Lepisosteus oculatus: one gene and its partners. Each later gene encodes a partner of the first gene's protein in a complex. Links are inferred from orthologs where the notes say so. Each region holds a gene or a part of one and is shown on either strand. Other genes may lie near its edges. The genes, in order: fgf23, fgfr3, kl and fgfr4.

Region 1 (6,844 bases):
TTCTTCCCAAATTTCTTGTTCCTGTCTGGCTCTGTAGTCGGACTTCGGTAGCGTATTTGGTCTATAAATCATCATTATTTAAATTATAAACAGGATGATGAGGTAGAAAGCTAAGGTTCTCAAATACATTTATGTACCACACAACAAGGAGAAAGTTACAAAGCTAAATATACAGTAATGTGAAGCGACACTATGCTTTAGGACTATCCTGTATCTAAAATACTGGATTGTTACTACCAGTATTAACAATGTGTGTTATGTACGGTAAAGAGCAATACAGTAAGTTAATTCAATTCTTGTAGTCAGGTATCCCAGAAAAATGCCCCCCAGGTTTTGGACAAATCTGGTAAACGTGTGCGGTTGAAAAAGAACATAATGACAAAACCCATTTTAAGTTTTGACTCTGCATCAGATATACAGTAAAAGCTCAGCTTTTGTTATTTGCAGAGTGAGCTCATCTAGTTTTCCCCGCACTGCTAACTCTCTGTACCCTGTACTGCAGGAGAGCTCTAAAGATGTCCCTGTGACAAATAAGCGCACAAACTTCGCTGTAAGCATTATGCTGTAAATATAGGCAGAATGCAAGAATGGTTGTGCATCAAGCAAAAAGTGCGAGCGTAAACCGTTCAATAAGGTTAACCGATTTATGTTTGGCTTTCATAAACGTTATTAGGTCCTCTGCTTTAATAAAGAGCTGTGGAGCCCTCTTCGTATCTAGATGTATCTTAATTAGATAATTTTCAATTAAAGCCAAATTACTTGAACACAGCAGCCGGGTATTTTTTCCTCTATATGAGAAGATCCAAAACCTGCCGGGAATTTAAAGATATAAAACTTATAGATCGGTCAAGAAAAACAAGAAACGAAGTCAAATTAAGATGCATTTACAAATCGCAAAACTGGAGGCGATCTTGTTTACTCGAAGAAATAAGGGCACACCAAATTTTGTCTGACAAAAAGACCGTTCATTTTAATAGGATTTAGTCAGGTGATGCTATGGTCTTCTCTTTTTTGTTGTCTAAATTCCGTTTAACTTCTGCATACAGCATTGTAGATCTAAATGACCAGTGCGGCACACACTCAATCAGCTACCGTACGGTGACAGTTCCGCAGACACAGCTGTATCATAATAAGTGATAAAAGACTTGAGAATGACGTTCATCTACGAATAGTAAAAGATTTTGCAATCGGATTACCATTTGCTTGGTGATATGTGTCTATAATAAAGGCAAATGTTCAATAAAATATTGTGAAAAAATTAAAAAATAGGAAAATAGATTAGCTTCATATGCGAAAAACCTGCCCTCCCATACACAAGCACATGCCGAAACGACTCTGGCATCCCCGATAGGAAACGCAAAATATTTAAATGCCGCATTTCCAGTTTATATTTTTTCTAGAACAGTTTCACGTTTAAAAAGTCTATTTTTCACACCATTAATACACTACATCGATCCACGCTGGCAAAACTCGTAGTTAAATGTGTTCCTTTTACAGGTGTCTAGGGCACGTTCCCCTGTTCTGAGGACGTTCGCCCAGTGCTGTCACTAACCAAGGGCATGGCTCCCTCTTCGGGCAGAAGCCTGCAATGAGGAAATTGAATTTGCTGGGGGTTTTTTTCTGAGGAGCTCGTAAACACACAACGACCATATGCAGTTCTGACTATAACAGATTTGAAAAAGAGAGCTACGATGAGAATGAGTATAAGAATACGTTTATAAAGCAGTACACATTTTTATTTTGCCCTGTCACTCTTTTTCCCACCTGCTTTGGAGTACTGTCTCTTGAAATATTAAATAAATTAGCGAATTAAAGCCCCCCACCCAAAATACTAGTTTAAATGATGCAATTACAGAATTAAGTCTTCAAATCTGTTAGAAACTCCAAACATACCAACTGACAACCTCGTTGCAAATGCAGGCTCTAATACAATTGGCGGTGATAGTTTGACTCTTGTCTTCTTCGCGTGGAAGATATGAACTGGGTACAGGATCTCTCCTCGCTTTCAATTAGCGATTATCCAATTCACGGTCACGGGATGCGACACTGGCAAGCATTGTGCTCAAGGCCGGTTACACAGTGGACGGGACGCCAGTCCATCGCTGGGCACACACCACACACCAGCATGACCAATCCGAGGACCTGAATGAAACTCAAGCAATTACGAAGGGGACATGCTACTGTAACCCCGCGCAGATAGCAAAGCTTAGAGCAATGTAGCATAGAAATATTGTCTTTTTTGCATAGGCGACTTACTGTATAGCGAAAGACCACACGGAACGGCGTACACAGTGTCCTCAGAGAATGACTATACTGTGCCATGACTATACGTAGAGAATGACTATACTTAGACTGTAAGATGTACCGAGCAGAAGACGGAATCTATTTCGTTTGCCGATAACCGCATGCTCAAGCTAAGAGCATCAAGATATCTGCGCTCTGTGGCGGCTAGGTGAAAGGTATTAAACCCATGGATACAAAATGGACAGTTCATAAATATAAAGGTTTCTTATAAACCCACAACATCACTATTACAACATCTATCTAGGGATTAAGCTAAATTCTGGCAGAACACAACTGCTTGCATTATCAGATCAATAGCAAGGCAAAGCTTTGGTTGTGTATAAGGTGTGTATCGTGCATACAGTATATGGGGTTCTTATTAACTAATGTGCTAATCCATCATTGCTTACTCGGGGTTCTGGTCCATGTTTTGTAAGGTACTGCATAGCTAGTTATGAAAAACCAGAGAAGTAGCACAAAGTTTGAATTACAAATTTGGACTCTTTTGGAAGATGGATTAATTAAATTACCCTTGATTGAATTTGCAGTATATAGCGCCTGTTACAATATATCTCAAAGCCCTTAATCATTAATAGACATATTGTTGGTTTAATTTCGCTGGCGTATTTTACCTAGGAAAATCCGTTATTAAAAACAAAAATAAAGCCTAACATTTAATATCAAAACCGCGATATGAAGACCGAATTAACTAATCGTCTTTCTAATGCTTTTTAAAAGTAGTATCAAAATTCTAGCGGAGGCAAACATAAACTGGCTTTCGAAAGAGTCCTATTTTATTCCTTTCGAAATAGCAAAATTGTCAACATGTCTCTATGATTGTTTATTCTGCTTCAGAAACAGTACCTGAGAAAAATAATGAATACTAAAACGCTGTACAGTAGTTACACTATTAGCCATAATTAAAAAGACTATTCTGAAAATCTTTAATAACTTTAATATTAAAAAAAGACTTTACTTAAGATTGGAACGGAAGGAAATTTGGATGTACGTAAGAAAGGTTTAATTTAAAATCTTAATATAATAATGGTTTCAGTTGATTTCATTATAATTATAAAAATCACCATACAGTATGCAGCAACAGTCTCGCCGAATGGCACATCAAGACATACTGTATGTATTTCACTATAACATTTTGTTCGTTTTTATTCTTAAAAAAACAAACAACAACGTGAATCACTTTCTTTCTACCATCAGCTATCGGTGTATGATCCCATCTTCACGCTTCTGCCCGCTGAACAGGGCCTGGCTCCTCAGGAGAGAGAAGTGACAAACTTTCAATGCAAGTCCGGAGGGCCAGGAAGGTCTGCGTGGGAGACGCCGGTAGCGTGATGTAAAACAGAGATTGCTCAATGAAACCGCTGGGCTATTGGGCAATGAAATCCAGTCGGAACCTTCCTCCCCTTTCCTCCTCTCCGTTGGCCCACTGGGACCTCCACATCTGTGCAGGGGGTTGAGAAGGATGCGGGCAACCAAGGGGGGGCGCCGGCCCGGCTTTAAATAGCAGTCACCAAAACGTGGAAGCACCAGATCGACCTCGGGCTCGGGATAAAGCAAACCAGGCCTTTGCGGCTTCAAAGTAAACCCTTGGGTCCAGACTAACACCGTACAGAATCTGATGTGGAGCGCAGCCTCTCGCCCGAACATGCACTCGTGTTTCCTTGCGCTGTGCCTGGCTGTGTTGCAGGGTTTGAAGATTGTGCATTCATTCCCTAATCCATCCCCGCTCCTCAGCTCCAACTGGGGCAACCCGAAGAGATACGTGCACCTGCAGACGTCTTCAGAAACCAGGAGCTTTTACCTGGAGATCGATGAGGATGGGCAAGTGGGAAAAACAGCCACCCAGAACGCCTTCAGTATGTATAATTTTCTTTCCAGTTTATTAATCCAGTTTATTTCAAAGTTTGATGCAAACCAACACAGTGCGTAGAAAACATCACGGGAACCACAGTTAACTGTTTTTTTAATGATTTTCTTTTCACGTTCGTACAAGGTTTATTTAAAACCTGGACACAAACATCTTTTTCGAATAGCATTACCTTTTCGCTTGAGATCAGGTACTTTTAATGTCATGTTGTGGCCGTGGATCGAAAAAGCAAGCCTATGATTTAATCTTTATTTTTTTTAACAGGTGTGTTGCTACTCAAGGCGGAAACAAGAGACCGTTTGGCGATCTTCGGAGTGAAAAGTAAACGCTTTCTGTGTATGGATGCAGAAGGAAAGACTTTCACCTCGGTAAGTGTAAAAGTCTCATGCTTTTAATATAATTTATTATTATTATTCACCTACCTGTAACAACAAAATTTTCATTTTGAACAGGCTTAATAGCCTGTGCATTAAACATCAAACACGTCAAAGAGTACTCAACTTTATTGATGAGGCAGATCAACCACCATTCCCTCTTAAATACTTACAGGGGTCTAGACAAGCGATGTAGAAACGGATTTGTGAGCTCGTGAGCAAAAGATGGAGAAAAGTAGACAGTAACGCTGAATGCCGTTCCTTTTTTAAGTACAAAATCGACAATAATCGTCCGTTTTTAGAGGCAATTTCCAAGCTAATTTAAAAAAAACAGACTGAAGAGATGTGTGTCATATAATAACTGTATTTACCAAAGGTCCTAAGGTCTTCTGTTCCCTTCGCCGAATGCCGGCAGTCTTCATGGCAATATTAACAGCCCTTTATCGTTTTGTCCATTTTAGACCATCTGCAACAAAGAGGACTGCCTATTTCACCACAAGCTTTTGGAAAATAACCAAGATGTGTACTATTCCTGCAAGAACAATCTGGTGCTCAACCTCGAAGGAGTCAAGCACATTTTTGTCCCTGGACAGAATCTCCCCGCCTATTCCCTGTTTCTGTCTGAAAAGAACACCATCCCACTGGAACACCTGTTGCACAGGGACAAGAGAAATGGCCATGTCGGTCCTTTGGAGTATATCAGCCACTCAGACCACGTCGACCCTTCAGATCCCTTAGCTTTATTCAAGCCCCGCAATATCTATTACGGGGAAACCTCCGACTCGCGGGCCATCAACACCAACCCAGAGCATGGTTTTAACGGAGAAGCTCACGTTGTGTCCCGAGAGAGCCTTGGACCGACGTACAATGAAGAGGTGGACCCAAACGATCCCCTGAGGCTTCTGGAACCCAGAGAAAACTTCAGCCCACGCTACTTCCAGAACATGAGAACATAAGAGAGGGCACAGTCCAAACCACACGTGCTCTTAATTCCTACTTTTGACCCTCCATCCTCACTGAAGTCATCCCCTCGGTTCAACTTTTGTCAGATAACTTGGAGGCCTTAAAATAGTCCAGTCCCATCCCATTCAACTCAGCTCTGCTTTTGCGGGTGAACAAAAGTGTTTCAAGGGGCTAAGTTAGAAAAAGGAATAGTGTCAAATTCTTGTAGGGTTCTTCTACAGCTGGTCTGAAAACCCACTACTGTATGTATGTCAGTAAAATGTTATCCAGAGGTGTCTGTGACATATTGTCTCTGTCTTTCAGACTTACTGATTTACCTGGACAGGCTAAAACCATGCAATTCGGCAGGATAACTTGATGTGCCATGCCTCTGTGCTGTTGAACTTTTATTTAGCACCTAGCTGAGAATGATTCTTAGAGAGTTTATGCTAGCGACAGAAGCCTCAACGTGCCTGATATCCAAGACTGGATCAAGGCCAGATAGAACAGAGAGATGTCTGGGACAGGAATCGGCTTCTCTGCCGTGCCATAAGACACAATGCACAGCACCGCATATGTTATCCCAGGTAGATACAATTTTACAATGCATTACTTTTATCAATACAGAAATGCCTTCTGAAACTGAGATATCTTCAAAAGGGATGTTTTCGCAAAAAAGAGAAAGGGAGAGAGATTAATTTCAACAGGAAATCACCATTTTCATTGTGCGTTGACAACAAAACTGTAGCCCACAACTATCCAATAAGGACAAGCTTCAATTAAGCACACACTTGCTTTCTTCTGCTATTCACTTTGCCTTGGTTAAATTTTAAACAGTAGATGGAATATAACTTAAAACTAAACACAATCATTTTCAGAATAGTGTTAAGAAGTGTTTTAAGAATTTTGCAAAAACTCAGTATGACACTGATTTTTGTTGTTGGAAATCATTTATCGTGATTTACGTTTATTAACTAATTTTTTACAGTAATAGAGTACTTCAATAGTTAGAACCAGCAAAACAGTTAAACACCTTTACCTTAGTGCTATATTAGAATGAAAACGTTTCATATGAGAACTTTTACAGTACTCATTTCTGTTGATAGCATTATTAAAAATATTGTTCTCTGCTTTTAATTATAATGGGCCTCTGAACTTAACTGTTACCTCCATATGTCAGTTTTAGATACTGACATCTTGTACTTGGTAAATCCAATGAACTATGTATGATTTATTCAGACTTAACTAGGAAACAAATATATTTATCGGTGCTGGACACCACCAGCAAATTAAATCAAAACCAAATAATGAAAATGTATTTATTTATATGTATTCACTTTTTCTTATTTATTATATTTAT
Region 2 (7,923 bases), on another chromosome or scaffold:
GAAAGGAAATGCGATGTCGGTGCGGTATTATTCGCATCTCTCGCTAGCTCCCCGCGTGCACTCACTGTACACCGCGCGGCTGACAGCTTGCAGTTTGCATTAAAACTTCGCAAAAGTCACCGACCCTTACCTCCCTCCCCCGAGCACTCGTCGAGCTAGGGTTAGTGTCGTGAATCTACTGTATGACGTCAATGGCGAAGCGAGCGCTCGGATCAGACAGCTCGGCTCGCTCGCTGGGGCAGTGGTAAGCGGTGAAGCAGTGTCCAAACTGTTACACCGTAGATTAGAGCAGCAGAGAGCAATACATCTCAATAAAGTCCACACGCAGCCGCTGAGGGTCATACATTGCCTGTACAGAGTACAGCCTGTATGGACAAATCTTAAAGGTATTGGCACAAGAAGAAATTACTCACTGGGTAGTACAGAAACGTTTTTAGAGTGCTTTATTGTTTGACGAACTTAAGCATGCTTTCTGTAATATTTTTTTATCATTAATAATTTCTTAATCATTAATATCTCTAAGAAGATAGCGACACATCAACACAAAACGGCTATTTTACTATACTGAAATGACTTTTTTATTACTTATTACTTAACATAGGTTTAACAAATACACCATCTACAATGCAGTGTGTAGAGCTTGTTACTTCTCTAATCTTCTATATAACATACTGTAAATGTTAACAGCAACATTAAATAATTCTGATGGAGGTAGAGATATAAAATTGAACAGAAAACATGTTTGAACGAGCAATTTGAAATTCCTGAGCCTATATTTTCCCTTAAAGCGTCAATTTATTTAATCTACTTACAGTCAACCTATTTTAATGCTGATCAACTTATGTGCACCTCAAGCTTCTTATTCTTTCTGGGTTTTGATTTATTCAGAATCCACTGAAACATGCTGCTTTCTGAGGACCTGTTGTCCAAGAGCAGAAATGTCCACATCTTGATCGTTTATTCTAATTGGTTTCTACAACCCAAGCCAAATAAGAATATGTCTGGAGGTGTTGTTCTTCTGCAGTCTGATGATATTTCATCAATTGTACTGATGTTATTCATCAACCATCAACAAATCTCTTCCAGTAGTCTCTCATTTGGCCAATGCTGTTTCTAAAGCACCTATTTATACAGCTGGGTATTTTACTGAAACACTTTAGGTGATGTGCCTTACTCAAGGGTACAAGAGCAGTGTCTTACCTGGGATTCGAACACTCAGCCTTCAAGTTCATTCACTTCAAGTAAACCTTCAAGTCCACTGAACTGTGCGTTGAATGGAAAATTGCTTCTGGAGTGCCCATCCAAAATAGGTTGACAAAGCCAAACAAAATAATTATAAACTAACACATGTTGTCTCTATAACGTGTAAGGTTATGGCAATGATAATCCCATGCAATTCAAGCTTCATTGTCACCTGGGGGAAATAACAATAATGTTCAAATTGGGGTGATATCATAAATGGAGTACCACTGGGATCTGTTTAGGGACCACTGCACTTCCTGATTTAAACCAATGATCTAGACTCGGGTATCATTCCAATGCTACTCCAGCTTGACAGATGATACCAAATGATCAAAGAATGTCACTCGCTGTGGAAGCTGCAAATTAAAGAGGGACAGCAGTCCCAATTTCTCAGACCGGTGATTAATCTTGGTATCAAAATGAATGAATTTACGGTGTAGCAAAAATGTACACATCCCAAATTAAGCACAAAATTGTGAACTTTGTGAAAGTCCTGTACTCTGCTATGTTTTTGCAAACCCTTGGTCTTGCCACGGGCGAGAGCAAGGGTCTGCGGAAATTGTGCTTTAAAACGACCCTTCCTGCTCACTAGTCACTGTAATGACTGATGTATTGCGATGTACGGGTGAATAAGTACAGGTTGTGCAGAAGATGTTTCACCGCACAAATGTCCAACTGCATGCAGAGCTAACAAGTAAGTTGTATTTGTTGGCAAAACCATCACAAAGCCGAGAGCAACATTTCTGTTGGATCAAAAGAGATGTGTTCACAAGCCTGCTTCTTCACAATCTTATAGGGCCGTTTCATGTTACTGGACGTTTTGTTAAATCATTCGAAATCTCAGTATATGGTGCTGCACATACCTGGAAATGTAGTCGATTTTGTGATGTAAATTGGATGTTTTACACATTACTTTCATTGTGGTTTGAAATGTACTCATCAAAGCTGATTCATTCTAACCCCAAAATATAAAAACAGCGTTGCGGTTCCTCTTTAGATCCAAAGAGCTTTTCAATACAATTCAGGACATATGACATTTAATGTAGACAAGAACATACTGTACAGTAAGTAGCAAAAATAAGAACGACAAACACAAAATGAAACAGTGATCTTACACAGCTCCTTGTGAAGAAGACATAGGAGTTTATGGGAAGTAAATTAAACACAGAGAGAAACAATATGTAGTTTAAAATACTGAAGTGAAATCAAGGGATGTTATGTTCAATTTGCACAGTGCACTGATGAGGCCTAATTTAGAAGACTGTGGAAAATTTGGGTTTAAAAAGGATATTGCAGCCCTAGAACACCCTACACTGCCAGGCTAAAAGACCTAATCTTGAACAGAGAAGACTAGGAGGGGAACTGACTCACGTATTCAAAAAAGTCAATCATATCCTGGCCTTTCTTCAGAATCAGCAGTTAATAAAGTAGGATTTTAGATTAAGATTTGGTCATACACAGACACACAAAGGGAGAGAGGAACAGGTCATTGCAAAAGAAATACTGCAACCATTAAGCAGCGGAAACGGGTGCCACAGTGACGCAGTGGTCAGCTTTGCAGCCTTGCAGTCCCCAAGGGCTGGGTGTTATTCCTGGGTTACTTTCTGTGTGGAGTTTGCATGTTCTCCACAGGTTTGTGTTGGTTTATTTTTGGTGCTGTGGTTCCCTGCCACAGTCCAAAGACATGCTGCTAGGTTAGTTTGATCAGGAACAACTGGCCCCGGTGTGGCTGTGTGTTCCCTGCGACCTCATGAGTTCAGTGCTTCCTGGAATAGGCTCGGGGCCACCGTGACCCTGAACTGGATAAGAGATTATTGGAAGTGCGCTGGAGATGTGAAATAGGCTGAATTATTGTTGTCGACTGTACATCTCAACCAGCCAGCACACGGCGTTCGCGCTGTTTTAGTCTAATGTCGGTTAATTTAATGAAATTCATTTCTGGATGAAGTCTTTCATCCGGAAAAAAAAAAAACTATTCGGCTGTTGTTATGTTGCTACGGAGCTGTGATTCCCAGAATATAAAGGCAGTAAAATAGAAGAACACAATGATGTAGTTTTCTTTGCCTGGTGACGTTGTGTGTTAGCGGTGGTCGTGCAGTGTTATTTACCAAGAGGAGAATAGGGGCTGATTTGTTTGAAAGGGGCCCGGTTGTGTGAATGTGTATTCTCCGAGTTGCGGGAGCAAACACGATCGGCCAGGGTGCTGCGTGTTTGCCGAGTAGAGACCATCTGCCCCGGGTCTCTGGAAGGGAGGGCTCTCGTTTACAAAATATGCTAATAGGGAAAATCACTGGCTTATTTCTTTGTGTTCAGACTCTGCCCCACTGTGGATTAATTCACATTCCCGATTATTACACATTTCATTACGCCTATTAAAAAAGAATTTAAGCTTAAAAGCCTGAAAAGTTGACGTATTGGTTGGCATGCTAAATAGAAAGGAGTGAAAAAAAGACAATAATTTGTGTTTAAATTGGATGAAATGACAGAAGAGCCACAACCACAATTTTTATAAATCCTGAAGACGTGTAACGGGTATTTCAGTTTCAATTATTCATATTCACGACGCATATCAAATACAGGGGACAGTTTTTAGGACATCTGAGATTTAAAACTGTGTTACGGAGCGCTAAAATGCTACACGACTTAAATCCGTCTTCATTGAACTAAATGATACAACCTAAAAAGGTATACTTAATAGGTTTTCCGCGATCAATTAGAGGCAAAACAGAAAAAAATGTTTGGTCAACAGAAGTCTATGATTGGAATCATATTACGTGATCATAAAAATCCAATTGTATTTCATGTTATTTTAAATAAATTACACAAACCGTTGTATGTTCAACAACGTCGTTTTATTTGACTTGTTTTCTGAGTGCCCGGGCTTTTGAGGTTGAATGAAGTAATGGAGTTTCTGTTTTAGTTCATCGTGCAACAACAAAAGAAAAGTTCATCCACAAATTTGATACAATTAATGTTTTAGCTTAGTGTACGCGTTTTTCTTTTGTGTCAAGAAGTAGCTAGTATAAAAACTTTTAGTTGGAGGGTTAGTAAAGAATACTTCATCTGTGTTTTTTTAAACATTAACCATGAATTAACTGTTAGCAAATGTAACAGAATGCTTAGTATAATTTAAGGACGACTCCTGATATGAATATTAATTCATTTAATTGAGTTATAACCGAGTGTTTTCTATGAGGCAGTTGTCAGCTTCAAAGTAAGCCTATTGACCTGGGATATTGATCGCTGGATAAATTTAGACACCTTCAGCCGTTTCTTTTTTTTAACATATTACTGATAGACCACAGAAAAAGGAACGCTTAACGAATTCGCACGTACAGTGTTTTAAATGTCGGGGGTAGAAAAAGCTCACGGTGAATTGCTTGTGGAGAAATGTCACTAGATATATAATTTATTTCAAAATAAACAACCCTAAATATTGCCAGTATAACTCATAACAAGAGACAATGGTCTGTAAACTATTTAAGCTCTGAAGTTCTAAAGAGAGTTAAGGAACGAGGCACACGGGAGCGAGTTAAATTGTCAAAGCCTAAACATTTATTTAAGGGGTGACTGAATGTTGGAAACGGGGACAGTGGGAGGAACCGCTGCCGTAGCCTCCGCCCCGTTTCTCCCCGAATTTTATCGCGCCTGCTGCCTTTAACTCTCAAGGGGGCTGGGACAAGCACAGCACTCGCAGAGGGTCTAGAGGCTGAAATCTGATCCTTGCTAATTTTTTTTTTTTCTGGTGCCTTCAGCCCCGGGCTGCCAGTGCAGGTCTGCGAGCCAAGCTTTCACACACACTCGTGTCCGCGCCAGTAACAGCGCTCACACTTTTTCAAGCGGAGCAAAGCAGGCGGGCAATGAACAGCCTCCTGTCCGGAGCGCTCTGCCGGTGGAAGCTATCTCCCGTCTCACAGTCGGCGCACGGCTCAGCGGCGCCCCAGACACTAGCCATTCGTTTACAGGAGAAAGAGAAAACGTGGGCATAGAGACAGCGGCGAACGAACTACGTGGTTTTAAGGGATTGTTGAATTTGGAACCTTCTTTGCCACCGCCAGAAGAAGAAACTCTTTCTGGATATTGTGTGTGTGTTTTTTTTTCCCGCTGCTTGTGATTCTCCAGTGGGGGTTTGTGCGAAAGGATTTTTACAGCTACTATTACTATTACTGTATAAGAGCACGTTTGTGACTGACACCGATTTCTTGGTCAGAGTCAGTACAGTTTGACAAGAATTGTGACCATTGGAAACTCATCCAGCGAAGACTTCTGTCAGTCTCCTGCGGGTTAGTAGTACTTTCATTATTATTAAGAATCGTTTTATCTTACCCATACAGACTAGGAATGCCGTGTCGTTTAGGTTGAGACAATTAAAATAATTGCATATTTTCCACTGTAATTTCTCGATTTTCTCACGATTCTTCCGTGTTTCTACTATTCCTCAATTTGAGCTGCTGTTTCTCGTCCAGTCGCACGGTTTGGTATTGTACAGTAAAATGAACGAAACGGGAGGCCACTTTCAGTTGTTAGTCACTTAAAAGGATTGTGTTTTGCTGTACACGGTAGCCGGTTTCTATAGCCGATGTTTGGCACAGATCTCGGTAAACTTTGGCATCTGTCGAAAGGGTCATTACTCGAGATTTTGCGTTTACTACCTTCAGGACAGTAGAAACCTAGTATGAGTTAAATTCATACTGAAGTCTTTTCATGGTATAATTGCGGACCTTTGAAAATGTTCTCCCATTCCAATAAAAGCCCAGACGGTATTTTTATGTGTTCTGTCAGTTAAAGACGCGAACGAGGCACAGAGTAAACTGAGGTCTGTCCTATTGACACTGCCACCACAACTCGGTAGCTACTGGTTCATTGCTCTTGAAATCACAGGAAGAACACAGGTTGTAGCCTCGGGTTTTTATTGATTTTACTGTCTTTGGGTTTGTGTGGTTCATGAACGCAGTGTTTAAACGCAGTCTGCCTTTGCAGGATGACATGGAAAACTGTCGCAGCTCCCAAAGACCGACTGAAAACGACCTATCTCTTCCTTTGCATTCAAATGTAACACTTTAGCAAACTTGTATTACTTCATTGTATTGGTCCCTATGGAAAATGTGCTTTTCAGGCAGGTGAAAGACACACCACGATACGCACTACATTCAACACAACACGAGCCCAGTAGCAATTGCGAGACATGTTTCTATATTCTCACCAACACGCGTGGAAGGTGAGCAGGTCTGGCGATGTTCATTTCGAGTGCTCTCGCTGGGACCCTAGTGTGCGCGCCCTTTCTGCTCGGTCTTGTTTTTATTCCGTGTAGCATAAAAAGCCAAGCTTTATGCAAAACGGCAGGTCTTGGCCGCGCTACAGTAAACTCGGGCAGGGGAAGGGTCAGTACTTACAAGTGGGCGCACAGCTTGTCCTCTTCAACACGCATTACACAGGTCTACTAGGAGTAGAGACCCGACGGGGTTTTTTTTTTTCTGAGCGGATTTCAGAACATATATTTTCACCGCATAAAGGATGTTGGTGAGATGAAGTTATGAAGCCAGGTATTTTAAGAATGCGTATCTCCTAACGTCAGCCATTAAAACAGCAAACCAGCGTTCTCACGGTAGAAAAGAAGAAATAAATGAGAGAAGCAGGCGGCAAGAAATTCTAGGTGGACGCCGCAGGGCCCGAGAGAAGATTTGTAAGGAGTGTCACGAAACAATAGCGCAACTAGAGCGTTGGTTTCGTTCAGTCTTAGAAGTCTGAAGCGCATGAAAGCCTGTGTGTGATACTTTTTGTTTCAAGGCGCAATGATATATTTCTCTCTCTATAGCCTGTATTGTATTTTTCCCTGTGCGCACATATAAGCATATGAATTTAATATACCCGTATTTGAAACGTCGTTATAAAACGTAGTAAAACAGAACACTAATAAAATACATTTTTCTCACACAGCTTTAACAGACTACTCACCTCGTTTTGCAAGTAAACTAAGGTGTCATGACAGATTAGTCATTAAAATTCAAGTTAGTTTGTAATTAAACCTCAGGTATTTACTTCACTAAACGACACTTCTTGCACAACATCCCAGAATTAAGCCTATTTTGAGGATACATTAGACCACAAGTCCTTCTACACGTGTAACGAATTCATGCTCCGCGTTTTGGTCTTTTGAGTGTGGCGTATTTGGCTTTGGGACTGACAAGGTTATTCTAATGCGTGGAGTGGCAGTACCTCTAAAGTCATAGGCGAGCAATTGGTTTCTTCATAGGCAAGTTTACTCTACCATTGAAGGACGTTGGGGGTAGTAGTCAAGGGAAACGCGTTAGCGATAATATATGTACTATATATATATATCAGATCGGCACAAGTCAGATTGAAAAAATGCGGACTGAGAAGACGTCTTCATCAAAAACGCGCTAAGAATCCATTGCCTTTAACATCACAGCAGACGAACTTGGCTTGTAATTTATCATGTAGACTTCGGGAAACCAGATACAGGCAATAGCCTAAGTACTAAGGGTGGTGAGGCGCTGGGCAAGTATTTGGCAAAGAGAAAACGTAAGATAAACAGAACCTAACACTGAAACTGATGTAGGTCGTCTTCTGAAGCTGCCTGCTGTTCTCCCACCCCAATTACAGATGAAGATGGGTTGAAGCATTAGTATGCTCTTACAGATTTGCTCTGCCCACATGATT
Region 3 (7,949 bases), on another chromosome or scaffold:
AAATGTAGATAAAGTAAAACAACTTAATAAAAAAACAGCTTTTTTTCAACCAGGGAAAAGGAAAAGGCCAATGGTATTACAGTGTTACAATAATGACAGTTAATTTCCTAACAGTACCAAAGATTTGCCTAGGTTTGCTTTTTGGATTTCAACAAAGCTCAGTTTTATGAATCCCTTGAATATTAGAAGGGACATTAGTCTGAGAGAGCACTAAGTAAGTGACCGTTATCCACATGTTTGTAAAATCTGACCTGAAAAAATAAACAAGTCAGCTGAAACGGTAAATTAAAAACGGTATCATTTGTGTTCCCTGTATCCATGCACGTGTGAATTCGATTTGACTTCATATGGAAACGTCAAGCAATCTTTCACACAACATATTCATTCAGATCTTAAAGGGTTAATTTTGTTATAAAACTCCCACAGATTTGATGGTGAAAATGACAGTAAGGTCTTATGATTCATCCTCTTTTTGTGAGTTTGTGTGGGGGTTTATCTAATTGATTTATGGCTTTGACTTTGTTTAGGTGTCCTTGCCTGCTGGGTTTATTTATCTGAAAAGGTTCATTAAATCTTATAAATTGCACCTAGATTAAGACACACTATCCCTTAGCCACTTAGTCTTAGTACATACATTTTCATTACCAACTGAATTACTTCATTACTGTTTTCGTCATGAGGAAAAGCCAACAACAGTTGTATCGTCTTTATTACACCTTCTTTACAGATTACCAATACAAACTAGAGCAAATCCATTAGTAAAACATCAACATTTCAAGTCTTAATCCCTTTATTTTGAAGGATGTTCTTGTGTTATCTTGCTTCATTTCTCATGTTGTAATTTCCTTTTCTGATGACCTGGTCCATCATATATCTTCCATTAATCTGTAAAAAGGGTTTTTAAACTACTTTGTTATAATATTCCAAATATTGCCAGATAAAGAGAATAATTACATTGATTAATGTGTACGGAGCACATGATTTGGAGATAAAATTAAACACTGGGTATTACATTGAAATTAATTAAAGGGACACATTTAATATCCAAAACAAACAAAAATAATATCAGTATCAATATTACCAGCATAATAGTATTTCCTTTGATTAAGCATATTCTAATACAATGGGTGCTGTTTTTTTTTAATAAATGAGTTGAAAATATTCAAGAAGTGAAGCAATGGGTTTTGATATCAGGGTTAAAATTTATGTGGACTAGACATTCTTAATGTTTCCTCCTCCAAATGTTACATTTGTTCTGGAAACAAATATAATTAACCTTTCCTTTTCATTAGAGTACCTTGTACCTGTGGTCGATTTTTTTTTTGTTCCATTTAATTTATTGCTGAGCACTTTTTCTTTTGTGATCAGCACAGAGAAGCACACTTTCTGAAGGGGTCACAGAACAGCTCTTAAGTGTCACAGAATGAGAAAAAATAATCACCTTGACAAGGCCTAAGACAGTTTCATCTGAGATATTTTGTTTTCTGTTTCCACTGTTTTATGAGTGAGGTCACTAGCTCCTTCCATTTAATTCAACAATTAAAATTTCCGTATAAGCAGATTTTTCTGTGAGCTACAGAAAATCTGATTTAAGGTGGTTGCTCCTGAGAGCCTTTTTTGTAAAGAATTCACTTTGTTGTATGTGTATGGGAACCCTACTTCACTGCACTGGATACCTGGTCATAAGACAGGTTATTGTACTCTAGGAAATAATACATTTCTGTGGTTGTGCACTACGTCATCAAACATTCCCGAGAGTTTCTGAAATGACTTTAATATGTACAAGTCTTAAACTGATGTAATTCTTCCTCACATAATGAATCGGCTTGATCCACATCTCGAGCATCAGTGGACTGTGACTGAGGCTGCACAGCTCTGAGCTTGAATCCCATACTCTTTTCTGGAGGAAGAGTTATCTGCCCTTGAGATAAGACTGGAATCTCATTTTTCCATCAACAGTAAGAGAGGAAGAGAAGCGCGCGATAAACAGCAGTAAGACAAGTGTAGATGTGCGGGTTTCCTCTTTTCCTATTTTTCTGCTTCTCAATCTCAAACCTACTTTCATTAGTAAATACAATAGGACATTATTTCATTCTAGGACCACCATTGATACTAACCAGTATGTACATACTGTTTTTTTATCTAGTAGGATATGAGGCAACTGCTTTCCATGTTAAATGTTTGCCATAACTCAGTCACTCCTTCAGGTAACTTAAGTGATGCAGCAGTCATGTCTTCTCACACAATACCTTGCCTTGCTTTGCATAGGGGCTTACAAAAATTATTAACCCCCTACCATAACATAACAGTGTCTTTTTTAGTTGCAGCCACTTACTGAATGGTACATTCATTACAATTTTTAAAAAACTTTTAGCAGCTCTAACCTTGCTATTCAGTTCATCCCTCATGTTTGTCTCAGGTCTGAGTAAATTATACATATTTTTTTAGTTTAGAACATGTCGGCTCATAGGCTTCTCTGTTTTTCTGGTACTGTACAAGGAGATCATTCTCTCTCGTCCCTTTTCTCGCTTCATCAAGACAAGAAAGACAACCAGTTCTTGTGAGTCAGGTTACTTGCTCCTTATTGTTGACAAGACTTCCCTGTGCTCTGTTCTCACATAAAAGCCAGAGCCATCTAACTCACAGTTGACGATGTTGACAGTACAGGCTCTGAAACTAGACCTCTACCCTGTATATCACTTTATAACAAGCTCACTTACACAAAAGCACATATCCTCATTTTAACATTCAAAAGCTTTACAGGCATAAACAAAGTATAAATAACTTTGTTTATGCCTGTAAAGCTTAACAGAACACCACATTTACAGAATAATTAGCTCTCTGGTGCGTGGCGGAGAAACGATTTATTTAGCTTTGTGCAGTTGCTTCTATGATGTTCAGAAAACCTGCCCATGTATGACAGATGGCTAGGTGAAACAGACTGAAAGGCAGCGTACCAAATGTTATAAAATGTTCAAAAAGCTTTTTAATATTTTAAGCGCTGCAATTTGCTTTGCCGTGATGCTTTAACAAAAAAAAAAACTGAACCAGATATCATATTAAAGAAAAAATACCGTTTCAGAATCAGGGTTCTTCTTCATAGGAGTAAGCACAAGGACCCTGATAATTAGCGAATTATGAAACGATGTTTTTTTTAATGCATTTTCATTGCCCAAAATGATGTAAGGTTGTTAGCGAATCGATTAATGCAATTAATACGATCTTCTCTCCTTTTGGACTAAGCCTCTGATATGCATTAGGCTTGTTTGCCTTAAATTTAAAAGGTTCATTTGAAAGCTTCTTCCTGTTTGCAGATAGCTTATCTGTAGATTTATGATTGGTATCCTAGGAGACGTAACAGCCTAGTTTCGGTCTGCCTGATAATAATCCTCAAAGTTTATCGCAACAGATGTCAAGGTCAGGTAATAAATTTCCTTTAAAAATATATTTACTGTATGTACATTTTCAACTTTAGATTGCCGTTATTAGTTGTGTTGCTAGTTAGGATGACTGAAAGAACTGACGAAAAAAGAAATGTGTGGGTGAATGCCCTAGCAATTAAATAGCTTCTCTTCATGGTAAGGTTCTGCTGTTATTTTTCAGTTTCAAACTTTATTTCCCATGGCACATTTCAAGGAACACATCCTTTGTGTATTTCTTTATATTAAATATGGATACAGAAAAAAAGTATGAAGTTTTATTAAAATATACGTATTCCTTTTTAAACAAGGTAGGTCAATTAAGAACACGTTTTCATTAACAGGGACGACATGGAGACACTTATACAGAAGGGTATTTACTGGAGCAGTGGGACCGAGATGCTTGCTCAACGGAACAACAGCAGTTATAAAACACACCGAATAATGTTACTGTGTGTTAAATGGATACGTTAAAGAGCTGCCATATGTATAATTTGTACAAAAAGACGAAAATACAGCTGTTCAGAAATGTACGGTATCTGTGCCAAAGCATTCCTTCTGTTTCAGTCTAACGTCCTTAAAACCTATATGGCAAAAGTACAATTTGATATCTCATTGATCTCATGATATCTCAACCAGGATATCAGTGTTCTTTCTAAAAGTGGTAGTCGGGTATACTGTTTACATCTTAACACATCATCCAGCTCTGAAACGTGTCATATGATTTTAATTTAAAATAATTGAAACCCCTGAACCCATCTCAGAATTAATTTTACTTCACTTATTATTTTTCTATATATAAAAACAGATTAATAACATCTGTACTATGTCGGGATATTTCGCCTTACGTTTGAAAGATTCCTGTTTATTTCCAAGGTCTGTGCACAAATATTGCTTATGGTTGATTTCGTTTTTGTATCTTGCTGTTTGCTGTCTTGACACAAACCACAGTCTATGACACAACACTTGACAAATGGCCTATGTCTTATAAAAGTTGCAACAAAAATGTGAGATTAATATAGATCTTCCTTTTGACGCATTAGTGATGCACTACGAGAACGTCGGAACAAATTTCTTTTTTTAAAAAAGTGAATGTTGCAAAATAATCCATTAGGGAAAGTTCACAATATTAATTTATTTCCTTGAATCAATAAAACTGTTAATAACTGTTAACATTTGCAAGGATAATCACCTTGTTACAATGGTACCCAGGGAAGGGTTCGTCTTTGTATAAACATCACGGGTAGGCATCACAAACGAATCGATTTAGGTTTTATTATGTTTTATAAAGATGTATAAAAAATAACTTCCTAGCTATAGTGTACAGTTGTACAGTTATCATTGGAAGGTTTAAGCTTTTATTGTTTTTACTTCCGCAGGAAAAAAAAAACAAAGAATAATTTTAATTTCAAAGATAATTTTCTTATTTTGGAACACGAATGGGTACCACTGAAAAACGGCTCCGCTGCTAGGGCACTCTTGGGTAATGATTGATAGATTACCCAGGTCTACAAACGAATGGCTCTGCTAGGGTAAACTGCCATTCAAGTACATGACAGTTCGTCCTGCGGCTTGAACGAGTGCGTAAGAAAGCAAGCCACACGCCTGGTCTTACCTAGATGATCACCTCTTCTTTGAATATAAAGAAATAACTGTCTATCTCTTGACAAAATACCGAAGGCCATTAAGTATGAAGTTAAGTTTTTTGCACTGTCTTGTCCTTTCTTTCGAAGTCCTGAGAGTCGCTGGAGGTCCAGGCGCCGGACAAAACACCTGGGAAAGGTTTAACAAACTCCCCTTTCCAGAGGATGAAGCCTTTCTTTATAGCACCTTTCCAGAGGGTTTCATGTGGTCCGTTGGAAGCGCAGCTTATCAGAGCGAGGGGGCTTTTGAAAAAGACGGCAAAGGTCTGTCCGTGTGGGACACTTTCACCCGGGGTGGCAACAGGATAGCTACAGGAGACGTGGGCAGTGACAGTTACCACAACATCCACGGAGACATTCGTGCCCTCCAAAAACTGGGGGTTTCGCACTACAGATTTTCGTTTTCCTGGCCACGTATATTCCCCAATGGGACTCGCAGCAGCTTTAATGAAGCCGGGGTGAGTTACTACAGAAACCTTATTCAAAGACTGAAGGAAATAGGAGTTCAGCCAATTGTTACACTGTACCACTGGGACCTTCCGGAGAGTTTACAACGTACTTACCAAGGATGGATCAATCCGGTTGTAGTGGACTTTTTTAAAGATTTCGCCGATTTTTGCTTCAGAGAATTCGGGGACGATGTTAAATATTGGATCACTATAGACAATCCTTTCGTTGTGGCTTGGCACGGATATGGCACCGGTTTGGTTGCTCCTGGCATCAAAGGTGATCCAGGGCTGCCTTTCAGAGTGGGTCATAACCTCCTGAAGGTAATGCACACATTCAGTATTTCTGATTTTCTTTTTTGAAAGTACTTAGGGGTTATGATGACTGTGGCGTAGTAATAAATTCCTGCTTAAACACTGAATTGAAAATACAAGCGTTTTGTAGATCCAGTTTTATAAAATGCTTAAAGAGAACTGTAGTGGCTTACAGAACGCAACGAGAAATTGTATTACATTATTTAATTATTTCACATTATATATTAATGTATTATTAATGTGTGAGATGCCTTTACTGTATGGCATTATTTAGTTTCTTTTAGTAGTAACCATACATATTGTAAATTACAAACCTCGGGCACTGTACACCTACTTTGCTTTCAAAGACTGCGGCTACACAAGAGATGGTTTTCAAATAGCTCCCAAGCGTGAATCTTGAAAAAGCAGCCGGACAAGCTGAAACAGATGAGGAAATATACTAGGATCACATTGAAAGAGGTTTCTTACTGAATGTAAAACACGATCCAGATAAGGTAAACAATTAGTAAAAGTATCAGTACCAACGGGAGCGTACTGTAAATCGATTCTAGAGGAAGTCGAATTTAAAAATTGAAACAAATTTAAACTTAACAAAATTTGTTAGAAAGTCATGACATTAAGAAATCTGCAAACCTTTTGCTTGCTGAGTCACATGTTAAAAAAACCCTCAAACCCTCAAATCACATAAGATGCAAAGAAAGGTCACCTGTTATAGACATACTTACTGCATATGAAGAGGTGTTATCAATTAGCGAAACGTTATTGTAATTAGGTAAGTACGAAAATTGTAGAACCATGCTGTTGTTGCTTAAATGTAGATTATTTGTTTTTGGAAATTAACCGATAATCAAAAAATGTGCGCCATCTGAGTTACTGGTAGTTTCATTATTGGAAAAATGCCATCCTCCTAACACAAGAGCCTTCCGAATGTTGGCCGCTTTTGTTTAAACTACATCTGTAAATTAGATGTGAATGTGACCCCTCAGTAATAACGACATTTATTATTAGAAGCTGAATGATGGCCGTTTTATGCGATTTATAAAACATTACACTACTTCTCGACATTATTATGTATCATTCATTTCATTTTTAGTTTACATATAGATGCTTCATCTAAACACTGATCGTTCTGCATGCCGGAGTCTTCTCTGCCTGAAGACATGACTCACTCGAATATGCCAGGAACCTTAGCTGTTGATGATGTGAGTGATCAGTGAGGGAAACGAGCCTTTTCCATTCTCTCTCCTGGTGCAAGATGTCTGCTTGAAATCACATTAAATATTCTCTCTATCCAGTCAGTCATATTCGACCTCGTATTAAGGTAGCAACACATCCTGCTGCGTGCCTCAGAATTTGATCAGGTTAGCAGGCAAGATAGACTGAGACCCATCAAACTGCACTTTGTCCCAAAGGCAGCGCTTGATCATTTGAGATTATGATCACAAGGCAAAAGTCTAAAACTGATTTAGGCATAATATGCATGCTCTCAATAAGGCTATATTTCACATCTGTAATAAGCGTAGACAGTATCTTCACCTTGCTTGGACTCATATTATAGAAACAGTAGGCCTTCATTATTACTTTTGTGTATGCCTAAAATATAATGTACAAGTAAGGTTTTTATATTGTGTATACATTTGGGACAGCACGGTGACGCAATGGTTTGCATTGCCTCCTTCTACTGTAGCACTGGGGCCTTGGAATGATTCTGGATCTGGGGTGCTATCAGCTATAGCACCTGTGCTGTGCTCTACCTGTGTTTGTATGGGGTTTCCCCTAGTGCTCACATTTCCTCCCAGTCCAAACACATAGGGGTGGGTTAATTTTGGCCCTATTGCCAGTGTGTTTATTCGAGTGTGTGCCCTACAATGGACTGGCATCCCATCCAGGGTGTACCTTGTCTTGCACCTGTTTGTTTCCAGGGTAGGCTCTGACTGCCCCCTGACCCTGAATTGGATAAAGTGGTTAGAAAATGGATCGATGTATACAATAGATTTTTTTAGTATGTTAAAGACATTATAGCCAGTAAGTACAGTACATGATCAAGTTATTTCGTACTGTTTTAGGGCATGATAGGAATTAGTGTAATTCTTGTGGTGTTTTCTCTTTCATGGCAGGCACATGCT
Region 4 (7,404 bases), on another chromosome or scaffold:
GAGTGTGTAGAATCCGAAGAGCAGGGAGGAGGGGATTGTTGTGGCTCTGATTGTGTGATTTAATACCAACTGCGTGAACCGAGCCAAGGGGATTTTGTTTTTGGGGATTGTGTGTGTGTGTTTGGCGGGGGGCGGGTAAAACCTAAATGTCCTCCGCCAAGGGACCCGAGAGTCCTGGCCGAACTCTGGTCAGACTCGGAGCTGCACTCCCGCCGGGAGGAGGACAAGGCGAAGATGAGGACGATGATGAGGAGGAGGATGGATGTTCCAACATTCGCTTTTTCAGGTCTCTTCAGAAGACTCTCTAGTAACGGGGATGCTGTGCGGATGTGGGCGTGAGTGAAATGAGTTTGCCGGTGTGTGCTCAGCTGGGAAGGATTTAGCCTGCAGAAAGGAGGCTCAGGGAGGAATACCTGGATTATCCAGAGGGATTTACTGCTCCAATTCAGAGCAGCACTAATCAATTTCAGGCAATCGGCACCATGCACCCCCCCCCAGCCCACACGAGCCAGCACAGCCTTCCCAGTACGGCTCCTTCTACATAGTGGTTTGCCCAACACCCCTCATGTGAAACACATCTCTGTCTTAAGGAAAATCCAAGCACTTTCATCATTCTGATGTAGTAAATCTGCTTTAGAATCTGACACAATTACTCAAACCAAGATTAAAAAGGAAGCTCCTATCACTGTAAAACCCTCTACAAGAACAAAACCAATTACTCTGCAGCTTGCCGTGTAAAATCACACTACCAAACGGATATCCAACTTGTCGTGAAAAGAACGCGGAGCGCATTTGCTCTCAATGTTGCGGCGACTGTAGTAACGCTTTCATGCGCACTGCTCAGTTATATGTGGTGATCATATTCCTTCCACGGAAAAATGTTGCCTTACACCACTTTCAAGTCTTAAGACAGATCTCCAAGCTTATAAAAAGTATTCCAAATAAAATATCCATTGTATTCGACTACAGTTTTGCAATGTAACGGAAGTCTCAGGAAATTTAAGGGTGGTGTTTATAACTGATGTTTGGCTTCATCTGTGGTATTTCATATGGGTTTGGCAGTACATTGCATTCTACTCTTTGAAATGTAAGAAATAAGGTTATCTTTTCAACACTTTCTCTGCTGTAAAAACATAGGACATATCAATCAAGCAGTTGCGAAAGTCATTCTCTGCCTTTCCCAAAATCCTCAACTTTTAACTTGTGCATCAAAAGTAGAAGCGGATATGTTATTGCAATGATACCAGTTTGCTTTTTAATCTTGGTTTGGGTAACCGTGTCAGATTCTCAACAAGGGCACGTTCAGAATCTGATAAAAATGCGTCCCGGGCACGATGCGATTGTATTTTAGAGGCTGATACGGTACAGAGAGGAATCTGCATATCCTTTTCAGAGCGTGGTTCAAAGCAAGTAGGTACAGCGCAAGCTGGAGAGAGAATGTGGTTACTGGCAGTCAGCCACACCATGACACCATTGTTTCTGATGAGTGAAAGATATTCCCCTCTCATGCAGAAAATTATTGGCAAAGGCCTCAGACCTGCTCACCACATCTAGCTTGCGGAAACTCTGGTGGGTGCTGCTGGTTAGAGGCTTGTATCACTGTTACCTCTGAGAGGCAGTGTGGGCTTCTAGCCCTACACCACCTCGGCTTCGGAAACAAACCCAGTCTCAAGCTAGATCGCCCCCCCCTCCCCGAGGCTCGGGAAAGGTAGGACCTCATTCTCACTTCACACCAGTTCAATTATAACCCTGCCTCCACTGATCTAATTAAAGAAATCCTCGCCGTTTTCCTTCATTGGTGCGATTTTGAGAGCTGTTTGGGCAGTGCTTTTATGCTTTTGCTGTGTTTCTCGCATGAAGTCACTCTAGCTCTGCTGAGAATTGCTCGGGTTCTGTCTTCACTGCAGTCTACGACTCTGGACCAGGGGAATGGTGAGATGTTCTGAGCCAACAATGACCATGAATAATGTTTACTACAGTAGCCTACAGCTCCTAAGGCCTCGCCAGCAAAGCGAAGGCCTACTATAAATTCAAGACATCCACCGCAACCACAGCACAACTAAGATAATGTCATGGCAAAAGAATGAAAATACTATAATAAATCTACCGAGTTGATTTATTACGGATTGTCTTTGGCATACTGCTGTTAGATAAAATCGTTCATATCCAGCTAAGATCGTTTGAAGAAACTTGCCAAGGAGAAACTCTGAAACTCATATTTTTATGTCTGCTTCCAGTTTCACTAGGTCCTTCTAGGTTCTAATCAGCACGCGAAACCAATCTCGAGACCCGGGAACAACGCTGAAAATAACACATGAGTATGAAAACAAGGACAGCTTGGCTTTCTCGTTCAAATCAGCCAACAATAACAAAATCTAACGATTAACAATAACCATTTTCCGAACAGATTCCACTTACCAACCCCACATCAAAGTGTTTTTGGAGTGATTCATGTCAACGCAAAGGATGTGCCAGCGCTGTTTCAATACCAGTCAGTTGGTTTCCCATAATGTATGCTTCTCTGCTTTTCTGTGTGCTGCTGGCTTCTTCATATTACCGACTTCGGGCAGAGCAAACTTTCAGGACAGGATGGGCTTTTGTGGTAGAAATCAAATCACTTCTTCACTCACTCAGATGTTTAAAAGATTTGATTTCCTATCATTACTCGTGAACTAGATTTACCAGGCAGTCAAGCAGGACAGCAAGAGAGTCGTTGTGAGTTTGTGTGTGAATGTCTGACAGGATCAAACAGCCGTGTGTATTTGCTCAAGGTAAAGGTTGTGTATTCATTGGTCTGTTAATCTAAAAACAAAGTGACTGAGGGAGAGGTGACAGTCAAAAATAAAGAGTAAAAATGCACAGGTCTTAGGCTTAGTCATAGGCTAACCCTGGAGACCCTGAGAATTTCTGACTTTTATTTTGTATTTCATTTCACTGTCAGTCACATCTTGCTACAAGTGCTGTGTATCACATAGGACAGTTTCTAGTGCATTTTTGGAGAAAGCAAAAAGTGGATGAGTCCTGCTGTACGTAAAGTAGTCTTTCAGTATAGTACATACAACAGGACCTCTCCCTGAATCTGACTTAGAAACAGTTTAATTCCCAAGACAACATGCAGTATACTGCACTTCCTAAGAGAGCCTGGAACAATTGCAAGGTTACTGATGTTGTGTACTGACCCACTGGTTGGAAACCTAATCTATTTTCTAGGGTTTTTGTAATAGGAGTGACTTCTACAAGAATGGCAATATAGTGTAGGATTCAGATTTAAAAAATAAACCTATAGTGTTTTTGTTTCAAATGAAATACAAAATTGAAATCCATCAGATACAGCGATAAAGATACGACATAAATTAAACACCACCCATCTAGAGATTGATTTTCTAAAAGAATGGATTGCTCGGAAATGAGCACGAAAGAGATTATCCGTGTAGAATAACATTTTCGACGGTCAATAATGTCGTCAGTGCGGCACTTTGTACTGCTGTATGTTACTTACAAATTCAACTTAAAAGTTAAACAGTGACGAAATGCAGAAAACGACGAGCTCTGTGTGTGGAATACCGGTAACGGCCTGTAGGCGTGATGCATACACGAACCTTCAGATTCAGCACTTCATCGCTTAATAAGTCTGAAGTTACCAATAAAAGAAGCTTCCGATCGGTTTGACGGACTTCGCTTTGACCTACTCCGGGTTCTGCAAAAATCTGCTAATGGGGATTTTTTTTTTGGTAAAATCATTCTCCACAATAACGGAGAAATTGACCGACAATATAACGTTTTAAAATAAAAACTACACACACTGCATAAAATGCAGGGATGTCCACAATAGTGAAGTTTAGGAGTAGGACAATTGCCTATGATGGGTGCTATTAGTGTCAAGCATGCTTTAGTGAATTGTATACAGTGTACATACAACACATGAACTGCTTGTACAGGTATGATAAAAAGGCACAGAACTATTTTAAGACTACAAACACACACTTAAATCTTTGGGGGGAACGAATATTAACCATTGTGGTCTCGGATTCTACCGTCATTTTATAGAATATCCGACGCAACGCTGTTTCTCTCCGTTTCAGTAAGAAAATAAATGCATTATTGCCAACATTTGTTTTTCTAAATTGCAAGCAGAAAAGGCCCGGGCTGTTGGTCCGTTCGGCCTTCATTTCCAAAGTTACCGTCGCTCAGAAGCAGCAACTATTGTATTCTGGCTTTCATTAAGAAAAAAAAAAGGGTAATACATTTCTCAACTACATTCCGAAGAAGCGCTTTAAAAACGGACGAGTGAATGAGAGTCGTTGTGCACACAGCACATCTTAGGTTTGGATTTGGCGCTTGGATGCTGCGAGGGGGGTCTGTGAGGGAATTATTTCGGGGGGAGGGTAAGAGAGTCATTCCCCCCTCCTCTTTCTCATTCTCCTTTAAGTCTATTGTTGCGAGTCTTGTGCTTACACTGCCCGGAGCTACTATCAGTACTAAAATGCTCGGAGCGGCTTTGCGCTGTAACCGGAGAGTCGCTAATTGAGAACCCTGGACCTTCTGGCTTCCTCCCGGACGAGCCATTAGTGAAGAGATACCGAGCAGAGCGGTGCACAGACTCCGCATCTGCTGCGTCGCTGCAGTCGATGTCGTTTTTTTAAATTATTTACGTCCCAAGTCCTGCAGCAGGGGTGAAAAACAGAAAGCCTACACGATCAACACCTTTCAGCGGAGCCGCGGAAGACAAGCGAGAATCCCGGAGAAGGGCAGGAGGAAATGTTGTTCGGGGATTTGTTGTTTGTAATGGATTTTGCTATGTTTTTTTGCTGGGGCTTTTGACTCCTGAATTTGCGTGTTTTGTAAGCTGTTGTGTTTTTTTTTTTTTGCTTCAACCTACAAGGAATCGGTTGTTTTTTTTATTATTTCGGTCTGGAGAAAACACAGCCAGGACGCTGGACTTGTTTCGGACTTTGCACTCAGTACCAGGGTGTCAGTGCCTCCGGGGACTCGCAATTTCAGAAGCTAAACCGTAGTGTTTGGGGATAAATCCGTGCAGCTCTTTTCTCCCGGAGGAGGAACACTTGAGTACCCGAAGCTCGGGTGAGGCCGCAGAACTCGGGACCCAAGTCCTAAATGGGGATCCATCTCCCCGATGTCTTGGAATTGTGATTTATCGAATTATTGACTCATCGGTTCGCGGATACGCCAACAACCCAAGATACCGAGGCAAGGTAATTACAAATCTTAAACCATTCCCACCTTTCCGTGAAACATGAGCTCTGAAACAAAATTAGGACTTTATTTCGTGATGAGGGATGTTTATTACAGGGCTTTGAGCGAGGTGCCTCTTCGCTGTGTTTTTAATTCTCGTTTTTGAGAATGACGACTGTGTGTGCGCTCGCAAGTAAGCGTCTCCCCGACCAGTTACGCAGCCCGTGGGGGCTCTAGTTGTGTTGCAGAAGGGCTGGTGTTTAATTATAGGTTTCCTCGGCAGTTTGGAGCGAAGTCTCAAGTGCTCCGGCTAATTTTGGAGTTTCAACCAAATTCCACAGACCGGTGACACCGCAGCTGCAGTCTCTCTAGACTCCGGTGCTTACCGACCTCTCTGGACATCTCTGCCTCTCTGTCTCGTCAGATGTTTCTAAAAACAGAAGTGAGGTGGGAAAAAAAGTCGTTTTCCCTAGACGGGTGCGTGTCCCGTAGTTGGATGAATCAATCACTCGAGCTGTATGAAACAAACGTTGCGCGCGTCCTTTCTATGTCCAAGAGCAATACGCTGTAAAAATGAAAACGAATACCTGAGTTGATTTGAAAAAAATAAATTAATAGGACGAGTTAAATTGAAATGAACACCCAACAAGGTAGTCGGTATGAGGCCAGTTCTAAACTCGCCAGCCGGCGTGACTTAAAAAGGCAGTGGACTCGGTATCCAGTGTTTGCGCAGTAGTTAAAATTTAACCAAAGATACAAGTTGGAAAGGAACAGAGCTAAAAGGACCCCTGCCTTTGATTTACGGTGGATGCAGAGTCACCGAGGGGGGGGGCTGCTAAATTTAGCCTGGGCTAGTAGTACAAAACTGTGTGTTACCTTGACCATCGAGTCACGTACTGTAGAGCTGGGCTCCGGTCGCTTGCGTTTTTCTCTCTTGTAGCTCCGAGACACGTGAAGTGTGGACTCACCATTTTTTTTACCATTGGTTTACTTCAGCTGCCTTGGCACGCCTAAAAATTATTTTTTTAAAAAAAGAATAAACCTTTGTTGAGTTTCCGGTATTTTTTATTACTGCGAGCTAGGTCTCGGTTAGCGTACGTGCGAATGTGAGCGTAACGCGATGGGTTGAAGTGTTGAAATACAATATCCCGATATCAGGGCCATAGACGATGAGACATCCTGAAAGGCATTGAATGAAATGATGCGAAAGTGACACGAATTCTGATTCTAAGCCATTGTTTTTTCCCCAAAAAAAGTCGCATAATTTTATCGAAACACGCGATGGCCAAGTAGCTGGAACAAGTCACACCGGACGCTTCTGCGCTAATCGCCGGGGTCTGCCCTCGCACTTTTAACGCTGTTTACTTGGTACTCCTTGGATTAAAAAAAAAAGAAAGAATCCCATCCCCATCTTTCCAAGCCCGTGTCGCCGTGGCAACGGCTCTCGGGCTCCCCTCCGAGCCCTCGGCTGGTGCCAGGGAGCGACAGTCAACTGCACTTTCTGCGCGCTGTGATGGGAGGGCGGGGCGGGACAGACGTGAGACAGATGGCAGTTGCGACAAGTGAACCGAGCCTGGTTGTGTTCCCTTGATAAGATCGGAAAGGCGCTGGCCGTGGCCTTCTCCCGGCTGTCCCGAAGGGTCTGTCCGCTGTGAACTGTACAAAGCACTCTTGAGGCGAAAGTGTTCTTCGGCGGTGTTGAAGGGCATTTTTTTCCCATGCAACACCCGACACGACTTGCAGTTAGCAAAATGCGAGAGAAAGCATAGATATCGGAATAAATGAGCGTTAATCTGTGTTTTTTCCCCCCTGTGATTCGTGATTTTAGAGGTGTGTGGTTACATTATTTATATAGTATATAAGTCCTAAGTGCACAGTAACGAGAATATGCTGCCAAAGATGATCGGCCGTACGCCACAATGCACGGACTGTCTCTCACAGTGTTTTCTTTCATTAAACATCAACAGTGTGCAGTCTGTTTGGTGCTGGGGTGTGTTTTAGGTGAGAAACTTAGTTTAGAAACTTACAGTTTCTCTGGAGAAATGGCCATTAGGAGCAGCTCTTTCCTGGAGCATGTTTGGAGTGAATTTCTTACACAGGAAAATACTCCAGAAAAGACTTGTTTTCTCCATAGTGGCTGATCATAAGTGAAACTAAATGTCGCAGAACGTCAGTCAGCTGTCCTGTCTCTGGCTGCCTGCATATAACAGG

What was found.
Region 2: the proteins of fgf23 (region 1) and fgfr3 are in contact, whole or in part, in a cryo-EM structure (PDB 7YSU), measured with the Homo sapiens proteins. The link is inferred for Lepisosteus oculatus from reciprocal best matches to the Homo sapiens genes FGF23 and FGFR3. Residues at the interface, in NP_065689.1 of Homo sapiens: Ser29, Leu32, Gly33, Ser34, Trp36, Tyr43, Ala45, Ala47, Arg48, Asn49, Ser50, His52, Ile75, Arg76, Ser77, Glu78, Asp79, Ala80, Gly81, Val83, Val84, His117, Gln118, Thr119, Asn122, Gly123, Tyr124, Asp125, Leu158, Ser159; in NP_000133.1 of Homo sapiens: Glu157, Arg158, Asp160, Lys161, Leu163, Leu164, Ala165, Val166, Pro167, Arg223, Asp244, Leu246, Glu247, Arg248, Ser249, Pro250, Val277, Tyr278, Ser279, Asp280, Ala281, Gln282, Pro283, His284, Ala312, Gly313, Ala314, Thr316, Thr317, Asp318.
Region 3: the proteins of fgf23 (region 1) and kl are in contact, whole or in part, in a cryo-EM structure (PDB 7YSH), measured with the Homo sapiens proteins. The link is inferred for Lepisosteus oculatus from reciprocal best matches to the Homo sapiens genes FGF23 and KL. Residues at the interface, in NP_065689.1 of Homo sapiens: Leu39, Met74, Ala80, Val88, Arg91, Leu166, Ile167, Phe169, Asn170, Ile173, Arg175, His177, Asp184, Ser185, Glu186, Arg187, Asp188, Pro189, Leu190, Asn191, Val192, Leu193, Lys194, Pro195, Arg196, Ala197, Arg198, Met199, Thr200, Pro201; in NP_004786.2 of Homo sapiens: Phe377, Lys385, Leu389, Glu390, Pro392, Trp417, Phe418, Ser420, Lys429, Tyr432, Tyr433, Lys436, Phe437, Arg468, Ser471, Ile472, Arg556, Arg693, Asn694, Met695, Thr696, Tyr697, Ile735, Val752, Phe755, Asp756, Asn782, Asn783, Leu785, Ile812.
Region 4: the proteins of fgf23 (region 1) and fgfr4 are in contact, whole or in part, in a cryo-EM structure (PDB 7YSW), measured with the Homo sapiens proteins. The link is inferred for Lepisosteus oculatus from reciprocal best matches to the Homo sapiens genes FGF23 and FGFR4. Residues at the interface, in NP_065689.1 of Homo sapiens: Leu32, Gly33, Ser35, Trp36, Gly37, Tyr43, Ala45, Thr46, Ala47, Arg48, Asn49, Ser50, Ile75, Arg76, Ser77, Glu78, Asp79, Ala80, Gly81, Val83, Val84, Tyr93, His117, Gln118, Thr119, Asn122, Gly123, Tyr124, Asp125, Leu158; in NP_001341913.1 of Homo sapiens: Glu156, Lys157, Lys158, Leu159, His160, Ala161, Val162, Pro163, Asn166, Asp240, Leu242, Glu243, Arg244, Ser245, Pro246, Lys272, Val273, Tyr274, Ser275, Asp276, Ala277, Gln278, Pro279, His280, Ala308, Asp309, Ile310, Ser312, Gly336, Asn337.

Annotation. Positions count from the first base shown.
Region 1 is NC_090702.1:6,867,339-6,874,182, reverse strand, and holds the start of fgf23 (fibroblast growth factor 23), read left to right. Parts: upstream 1-3,837; 5' UTR 3,838-3,919; coding exon 3,920-4,157; intron 4,158-4,432; coding exon 4,433-4,536; intron 4,537-5,003; coding exon 5,004-5,498; 3' UTR 5,499-6,844. UniProt on the Homo sapiens protein: Regulator of phosphate homeostasis. Inhibits renal tubular phosphate transport by reducing SLC34A1 levels. Up-regulates EGR1 expression in the presence of KL. Acts directly on the parathyroid to decrease PTH secretion. Regulator of vitamin-D metabolism.
Region 2 is NC_090696.1:5,985,725-5,993,647, forward strand, and holds the start of fgfr3 (fibroblast growth factor receptor 3), read left to right. Parts: upstream 1-4,922; 5' UTR 4,923-5,525; intron 5,526-7,923.
Region 3 is NC_090700.1:14,866,834-14,874,782, forward strand, and holds the start of kl (klotho), read left to right. Parts: upstream 1-4,943; 5' UTR 4,944-5,109; coding exon 5,110-5,832; intron 5,833-6,137; exon of another isoform or gene 6,138-6,240; intron 6,241-6,548; exon of another isoform or gene 6,549-6,760; intron 6,761-7,940; coding exon 7,941-7,949. UniProt on the Homo sapiens protein: May have weak glycosidase activity towards glucuronylated steroids. However, it lacks essential active site Glu residues at positions 239 and 872, suggesting it may be inactive as a glycosidase in vivo.
Region 4 is NC_090706.1:39,850,626-39,858,029, forward strand, and holds the start of fgfr4 (fibroblast growth factor receptor 4), read left to right. Parts: upstream 1-4,388; 5' UTR 4,389-5,213; intron 5,214-7,404. UniProt on the Homo sapiens protein: Tyrosine-protein kinase that acts as a cell-surface receptor for fibroblast growth factors and plays a role in the regulation of cell proliferation, differentiation and migration, and in regulation of lipid metabolism, bile acid biosynthesis, glucose uptake, vitamin D metabolism and phosphate homeostasis.